Linked DNA regions of Mus musculus. The protein of the gene in region 1 purifies or fractionates together with the protein of each later gene. This does not show direct contact. Links are inferred from orthologs where the notes say so. Each region holds a gene or a part of one and is shown on either strand. Other genes may lie near its edges. The genes, in order: Taf5l and Atxn7l3.

Evidence for each region.
Region 2: the proteins of Taf5l (region 1) and Atxn7l3 purify together in Homo sapiens (affinity purification with mass spectrometry; 7 studies listed by BioGRID and IntAct, counting the BioPlex papers as one, with this or other methods). This does not show direct contact. The link is inferred for Mus musculus from reciprocal best matches to the Homo sapiens genes TAF5L and ATXN7L3.

Annotation. Positions count from the first base shown.
Region 1 is NC_000074.6:124,007,667-124,011,466, forward strand, and holds part of Taf5l (TAF5-like RNA polymerase II p300/CBP-associated factor-associated factor 65 kDa subunit 5L), read right to left. Parts: intron 2,168-3,800; 5' UTR 2,165-2,167; coding exon 2,023-2,164; intron 630-2,022; coding exon 525-629; intron 1-524. UniProt on the Homo sapiens protein: Functions as a component of the PCAF complex. The PCAF complex is capable of efficiently acetylating histones in a nucleosomal context. The PCAF complex could be considered as the human version of the yeast SAGA complex.
Region 2 is NC_000077.6:102,293,733-102,298,235, forward strand, and holds the start of Atxn7l3 (ataxin-7-like protein 3), read right to left. Parts: upstream 2,898-4,503; 5' UTR 2,671-2,897; exon of another isoform or gene 2,657-2,670; intron 2,623-2,656; exon of another isoform or gene 2,270-2,622; coding exon of another isoform or gene 1,979-2,269; exon of another isoform or gene 1,750-1,978; intron 1,328-1,749; coding exon of another isoform or gene 1,268-1,327; coding exon 1,217-1,267; intron 911-1,216; coding exon 778-910; intron 574-777; coding exon 402-573; intron 210-401; coding exon 112-209; intron 1-111. Other genes in the region: Gm33851 (cyclin-dependent kinase 13-like), read left to right, coding at 3,033-3,445, 3,892-3,964. UniProt on the Homo sapiens protein: Component of the transcription regulatory histone acetylation (HAT) complex SAGA, a multiprotein complex that activates transcription by remodeling chromatin and mediating histone acetylation and deubiquitination.

The DNA.
Region 1 (3,800 bases):
GGAGGAATCTGATTTTAGGCTAGGACGGGGAAGTAGGCTCAGATATCTTGGACTTCCCAATAAGCCCTTAGAAAGTGATCACGGGACTTTGTTTATTGCCTCGCCTGTTCCTTATTTGTGTTTATTGTATTGTTGCTTGTTCTTCAACCTAGAATTGACATTACTTGATGGTATTAAAATGGTATGAAAGCAAATTGGAAAAAAATAAACCTGACTCAGCCCCAGACCTGGCTAGAGTCATACTACAATGTTGTCTAATTGTCTTTTTCTTTTTAATCCTCACTCCTGCCCTGGAGAACCCGTTGACTGAGCTGGCTTGGTCAGAGGAAGTCATAAATTACGGTGCCAAAAGCCACAGGCAAAGAGAATAGGACAGGCAGAGTTCTCTATCCTTGTAAACGTTAACCTCAAGATCTAAGTCTCACAGTTTCATTTGCATGGAAGCATTGTGTTAAAAGTGTGGTGGTACTTTAAAACACTATGCTTGTGACAGAATCCATCACCTGCCTTCTCGGAGGACTCACCGGTGAGAAAGCTCCTCAGGCGTCCAAACTGCACTTCATACTGCTGGGGCTCTGCCTGGCATGGGGCTGCAGACACCGCATTGGCACAACCAGATTCTGATTGGACTAAAAGGAAGAAGACACAGAGGCAGGAAGGCAGTTACTGTCTACCACATAGCAGGACGGACAGAGGGAGAGCACAGAGCACAATGGCATCTCTCAGTAGTCTCTAGGACCCTGACAGACTGGGACAGGATGCTAACACCCCTTTGTCTCCCCTCTTTTCTGATACCCCATAATACTAGGGCAGAAGATTGAATAGCTACAAAGCAGGAGAGATGAAGAGAAGAGAAGAGAAGAGAAGAGAAGAGAAGAGAAGCACGCAATATTCCTGAGATTTATCTGAAAATGTCTAGCCCATGTTAACATGGTACATGTGCTATGGCCTGGGTTTGTCAATCTGAGAGGCCATGCCTTCCAATATGACAGCTCACAACTGTATGTAACCTAGTGCCAAGTGATTTGGCACCCTCACACAGGAGGGAAAACATACATGCAGGCAAAACACCATTTTTTTTTAAAATAATGCACACTAAAAAAATATATATCTCAAAATGTTTTTTTCTCCCTGAGCAGCATTTTCTTATCTCGGTGCTATGTTATGGACAGGTATCAGAGAAGGATTTCCCCCAGGCCTATTGCCTGGATGTGAAACAGGGCACCACAGGGATGATGGAGTGTGGGGTATCACTTAGCATGGCATGTTCCGGGAAGCTAGCAGGAGCAGCAGCCTGGGGTCTCACTCTTTAACATGCAAGCATGCCCCCTCTGACTTTATCCTCTCTTCTCCTGTCTCCTTATGCTGGAATTATAGGAGTATGTCTATCACATCTGGCCTGAGTTTGCTTCCTAAAGAAGAAACTTAAGCTTTCTGCACAACCCAGTGTAGAGTCTACACCATTCTGCTCTTGATTTCTACTGTAACTTTAAGGCAAACTTTCACACGACATCCAGAGACACTGAAGCTCTGCAAACGGAGAAAGACGCCCTCAAATTCCTTGCAGCAGCAGGTACCCACTTAGGTCGTACTGACCTTGACTTCCAGATGTCATCTTTAGTGACCTGAAGAAAATGTCATATGTAGCTACTACATTGTGGATGGAGGGATATTCGTGAATACAGTAGAACTGAGGGAGTTCACAGTATAGGCCTGACTCCCTCCCAGGAGCAAGGTTCTGTGCCAGCAGAGGCCCTGCTCAAGGCACTCAGGGTCTTATAGGGGACAAAATGCTGCACCTACCACCAGGAAGACAGAAAACAATCTGGACTCTCTGAGGAAAGATACACGGCTCTAGCAGGGCCTCCACAAGTTCAGTGAGGATAGTTTTGAGGGACAGGAAAGGTCTAAAGGCCAGTGCCCCTCAGAGCTGCTCACTGAAGCTTGGTAGCCTACCCTTTGCTGAGAACCCATGTGGGCCCTGACAGCTCCCGTTCCGGGACATCCATAGGACCCTGATACCTGTGAGGTTGGCTGCCATCTCCTCAGGGGTCTGTGAGAGTCTCAGGCCTTGCTTCAAAGGGCCTTCTGAGTCTACGTACTGCCGGCGTTTGAGGTAGCAGGACACTGCCACCTGAACCTGCTCCGTGCGCACTCGTTTCATGACCTAAGAAGAACACAGAAAGCATGGTGTAAGGGATGGCAGAGGTGTCACAAAGCTGTTAAGACAGACACTGAAGGGACCCAGTGAGGACACAGTCTGGGTTATAAACCTACATTCTCTTTCATTTTATCTACTTTTCCAAAGGCCATGGAGCCAGCTTCTTTGGGGGAGAACAGCAGGGGTAACACCCACAGATCACTCAGACACACTCATTCAACCAGCACATGGACTATCAGTGCTTGCATGCAGCAAGCAGGCCCAGTTTGAATTTCAGGCCACTTCTGCTGCTCTGTTAGAGAGCTGGTACCAGCAGCATAAGAATACGTGCAGCAAAGTAGGAGGCAGAGCATCAGACAAAGGCCAGAGAAGCCCAGATCCTGGGTAAGCAGCTGCCGACGAGCTGAGAACCTGGCAATGGGAAGTTCCCTGTGGCTCTAGGGATGGGACCCAGAGCCTCGAACAGCCAGGAAGCACTGCACCAGTGAGCTGCATCCCACCAGTCCTCCTTTCTCTGAGACAGTGTTGGTTGATTTGTAGTCTGGCATGGCCTTAAACTCAAAGATCTGCCTTCTTCAAGTACAGGGATTAAAGGTGCAACCACATCTAGCCCCGTCTTACTGCTGTGAACAGACACTGTGACCAAGGCAAGTCTTATAAAGGACAACATTTAATTGGGGCTGGCTTACAGCTTCAGAGATTCAGTCCATTATCATCAAGGTGGAAGCATGGCAGCATCTAGACAGGCATGGTGCAGGCAGAGCTGAAAGATCTACAGCTTCATCTGAAGGCTGCTAGTGGAAGACTGACTTCCAGGCAGCTAGGGTGAGGGTTTTTAAGCCCACACCCACAGTGACACGCCTACTACAACAAGGCCATTCCCAGGGCCCTGTAGACTTGCTCAAACATATGAGTCTATGGGGCCATACCTAAACATAGCATACTGCAAAATACATTTAGTCCAACTTCAAAAGTCCCCATAGTCTATAGCAGTCTCAACAATGTCCAAAGTGCAAAGTCTCTTTTGAGATTCATCCAATCACTTAACTAAAATCCCCAAATCAAGACAGAAAACCAGCCAGGCAAACTCCAAACTCTACATCTCCATGTCTGATGTCAAAGCAGTTTCCACATCTCCAACCCCTTTTTCATCTTTGTTGAGTCCAACAAACTTCTTTCTCCTGGGCTGGTTCCACTCCCTGTTAGCAGCTTTCCTCAGTAGATAGCCCATGGCTTTGACATCTTGGGCTCCTCCAAAGGGGTGGCATCATTTGTCCAGCTCTGCCCTCTGTAGCACTCTAAGCTCAGGTTGATCCATTCCAGTGCCACTGCTGTTCTTGGTGATCATCCCATGGTACTGGCATCTCCAATACGCTGGGGTCTTGCACTGCAACTAGGCTTCACCAATAGCCTCTCATAGGCTCTCTTCATGGTGCCAAGCCTCAAATCCTTTGCATGACCCCTTCAGTCCTGGGCAACTGAGGCTGCACCTTCATCAATGGCCTTCCATGGCCTCTCACAGTGCCGGGCCTCAGCTGCTCTTCATGAGCCTTCATGTCTTCAAAACCAGTACCACCTGGGAGACTCTTACACATTACCAAGTACAGCTGCATCACGAGGTACATCTGGAACACAGCTT
Region 2 (4,503 bases), on another chromosome or scaffold:
TTTTTGAAAACTACATTCTTCCCCCATCAAGACAGTTTATGGCAAATGTATACTCTACTACTATTTCCTTCACCCCAGCTTCTCCCAGGTTTCCCCAGACCCCCAAAACACCTTTCTTCTCTGAGCCATAGGACCAGTCATTGTCATTGATGTCATCGTTGTCTTCTTGGTCACTCTCAGACTTGTTCATATTGTTGCTATTGGCAATCCTGCCCAAAGTTGAGAAGAAAAAATGTCAAGGCTAAAGGATATCACCCATCTGCACATGAATTTATAGGGAAGCACGTGAGGACCAAGAGTGGCCCCCCCTTCTGTACCCTACCAGTGACCCCATAAGACTACACCTCGGTACCAATTGCACAAGTTGCGCATCACTGGTGCTGGAAGCATGAGGTTCTCACCGACGGTTGGCGATTCGGCTGCTGTTGCGACCCATTCCCAGGCACTTCTCCAGGTGGGGGGCAAAGCGGGAAGCAGCAATACTGCGGCTGCAATTGGGGCAAACACACTCCTTGCTCTTCCACTGGTTGAAAACCTGTCCAAAGATGTCCAACCCAGGCTGGTCCACGATCTCTGGGGACAGGAGAGGTGTGGCGATCAGAGCGGGCAGGGTACCCTAACTTCTTGTCCTCACCTATGGTCCCAGGCTCTCTTTAAATCCATTCTTGCCTAAGCTCACAGGAGCTCCAGGCTCTACAAATAGGACAGTTTCTAAAGGACTGCTCTAAGCCCTTCCTGGGCAGAGCTAGACCACTCCCCTTCCACCCTGAGGCTCACCAAAATCCTTCATGCTGTCAGGATCCGTATCATCCAGGAAGAAGTAGCCACACTTAACAGCCCGGTGTACTTCAAAGCAGAATCCCAAACAAGAATCCTCGACCAGGTCAGCATATATCTCCTGAGCGATGGCCTGGGCCCCGGAAGAGAACACCAGCATCCATGGTCACAAGGGGAGCACCCCACCTTGACTGAACAACTCTCACCAACCAAATCTCCTGGCCCTGACCAAGCATGCTGCTTTCTTTGCCACTTTCCTGACCTTGATTTTTGAGTTCCTTCTTCCTCCCAGATCCTTGGACCTTTCAGCTGGTTATTATTCCCTCTAAGGAACAAGGCTGACTACCCAAATTCCTCCTTTGGCACAGATGCCAGATTTAGCGACGGACGCAGAGACATTGAGAGAAAGAACCGGAGGCACACGTGGGGGAGCCCTCACCTCTAGTTTGCTGTTATCCAGGCCAGACAAAGACATTTCCTCCATTTTCATTTGTAAACTCTTGTGGAGACGGCGCTCTGACTGCTCATAGCACAGCGGGCGGCAACACGGCTGCACACATGGAGGTGGGGGTGTTGGTGTGAGTCCAAGACACCTCCAGAGACTGCCACCTCCCCTCCCCACCTCCAAGCCCAGGGCTTAATCCTGGCATCAGTGTGTCTCCCTCCCCAAGGCCCCGTTCACTAGGTCTAGATGGTCCTTCAGGGCCTGAGAACCAGAGGTGGCCTAGTCCTTCCCAGGCCTAAGCTCAGGCCCTGAACTGTACTGCCTTGCCAATCAGACTCTAGGTCTATAGGAGGCAGCAGCTCATCCCAGGTACCCAAAACTCAAACCCCTCTTTGATACCCATGGTGCAATGCAGCAGGGGGAGGAGAAGGAACTCTAAGGCCTCAAAGCAAACCCACAGGGTGTGGCAAAGAACTGCACAGACTCCTCAAGACAACCCCCGTTTCCCTAAGGGCTGTCATAGTCACCTCTGCTTTCAGCCAGGATGTCCACTTGGGGGGGTACTGCTACCAGAAGTAGGAATGGCCCTAACACCCTACAACCTTCACCCCACTCTGTCTTCTCTTAAAATAAGCCTGCCACTCTACGAGAGGAACAGAGCCCAGAGAAGCCTACAGGCAAAGGGCATTTCCAGCCACCAAGAACGTGAGCAGAGGAGAGCCCCGTGGTACGCACGCGAGTGGGCACTCCCCTTACCTGTTCTTTTAGATCGCACCCTCCCTCCCTCAGGACCAGCCCGGAAGTCTCTCCAAGAGCCCCAAAGTCCAAAAACCCCACCGTAGGATTCAGAAACAGTGCCCACAGTTCGGGGCCCCACTGAAGAGTGGGTACGAGTTTAAGAAGCTGCCGGCCTCGAGTGGGGTGGGGACTGACAAATGAGCCAGGGGCACTGGGAAGGGGAGCAGGCCGTGTCGCGGCTCTTCTCCCGTCCTTGCGGCACTGCTGCTGCATCATACCGACTGGGGGGAGGAGAGCCGAGCCGCCCATAGGCCGGCGGCGGGCCGGGACAGACCGACCCCCAGAGAGTAAGCAGAGTGGGACGCGTCCCGACCCCACTAGGTCGCCGCCTGCCCAGATCCCGGACGGGCCGGGGAGAGGATTCCGGGAGGGTGTCTCTATTGTCCCGGGGGCTGGGGCCTGGCTCCCTAACAAAGGCCCCGCGCCCCCTCCCCGGCCGGCCCTGCCCCGCCCAAGGAGGACCCAGCCAGGGGGAGACCGGGGGGCCCCGGCCCGGCCGGGAAGCCGGGGAAAGCCGGGCGTTTCCGCGTCGGCCCTGGGGGAGGGGAAGGGGCGCTGACCCAGACCTGGGGGGAGGGGGCCCAAGCCCCGCCTCGGGCCCCGCCCCCCGCCCCCCGCAGGCCCCTCCCCCGTCCCTGTTCTGTACTCACCCCGCCCGGGGGGCCGCGCCGGGGCCCGGCGGCCTCTCAGGGCCGCGTCCTCCGGCGGCGGCGGCGACGGCGGCTGCTCCGGAGCCCCATGTCCGTCGGTCCGTCCTCGCCTCTCCCCGGGGCCCGGGGCCCGGGGCCGGGGGGTCGGGCTGCCCCCCCGCCTCGCCGCCTCACCGGGCGGCCATGGCCCCTTCCCCTCCCTTCTCGTCCCGTCGCCGCCTCCTCCTCCTCACCTCACCCCGCCCGCGCGCAGTCCGCGCGCCGTCCGCGCGCCCCTCCCCCCGCCCCCCACTCCAGCCCGCCTCTCCCGGGCGGGGGGTGCGGCGCGAGCCCGGAGCGCGCGCGCGTGCCGCGACCGGAGGATGGATGGATGGAGCGAGCGAGGACGCGAGCGTGCGCGCGCGCGCCCCTCTCCCCCCTCCCTCGGCGCGGGCGCGAGGCCAGGCGCGAGCGCGCTCCAACCTCCTCCTCTTCCTCCTCCCGCCCCTCCTCAACACCCCGCCCTCGCCCTCCCTTCCTCTTCCTCCTTTCGCTTTCGCGCGCCCAGCGACTGCTCGCGCCTGCTAGAAGGGCCCGAGCGCGTGCATCTGCCCCGCGGCCGCAGCTCGGCAGCATTTGCTCCAGGGGGCGGGGACCGGGAGGGGAGGAGGGGCGCCACGCCGCCGTCCAAAGTACCGGCGGACGGGACCTGGGGCGGGGAGATGGGTGGGGCCTCCGTAGACGAGTCCGGCCAATCGCGGAGTGTCCTCGGCCCGGGAGGCCCAATAGGCTCGAGGTGGGTGGGGCAGCGTTCAAGGTGAGGTGCGCGGTGCGCCAGGGGCGGAGACTTGGTGCCGTCCCGGCCGGCTCGGGGGCGGAGGCAACGGGGTGGCGTCGAAAGAGAGCGCCGGCTCCCAGCCGAGCCTGGGACGCCTTCCGGCCCAGGCATCCCCGCCCTTCCCGCGGGGTTCCCTGCTCTGCTCCCCGGTCGCTCCCCCACTTTGACCGCGAGGCATACAGTCAGTTGTGTGAAGAGTCTGGGCTTGAAATGGGGTGCAGTTAGGCGCTCAGGAAGGAACAACCTTAAAAGGGGCTGGTCTGCATTCGTTCTCTGGGTTTCGGAGTGGGTCACCAGCCACCCCAGGCCTCCGAACCGAAAAGAACCCAAGGGAGAAGGTTCACTGCGGAGTGCAAGCTGCGCCCTTCTGAGTCGAGCGCGCTCCCGCCCTTATCCTAATTTAGATCCCACACCTGCTCGCCTTTCCTGCTTCCGGAGCCCACGCTGGACCCTCCACCTCTCAGACAGACTGCTTAGCACTGGCCAGACTCTGCCTACACTAAAAGCTGCTCCGCTGGGAGTGGCCTTACCCTCCATCTCTCGCCTCTTTAGCTTCGGGAGGAAAGGTCCTTTTCTCAGCCACCCAAGGTGTTTAGATCTGCGCTCACATGTACGTGGCCGTGTCTACAGCCTCGAGACTTTTGCGTGCCAGGCCTCTAGCTTCAGATAAAATTAAACTCTGGAATCACGTACTTTGAGACCATCTTTGGTTCTTCGCTCTTCAGCAAACATGTATGGAGGTTCTTGGTAGATATTTCGAAGCGGATAAGACCACACGTTAGTTCTGAATTTAACTTGGTGGACCAGGCAAAAGACCTTCTTACGCCTCTTTTGTCCATTACCAGAGGACATAATGATAGTACCTATTTCATAGGAAAGACTTAACAATTAAGTTTATGCCTAGCCACTCCTTTTACCACAACAGAGAGAGGTAGAGAGAGGCAGGAGGATCTCTGTGAGTTGAGGCCAGCCTAATCTACATAAATACTTCCGGGGCTACATAGTGAAACCCTGTC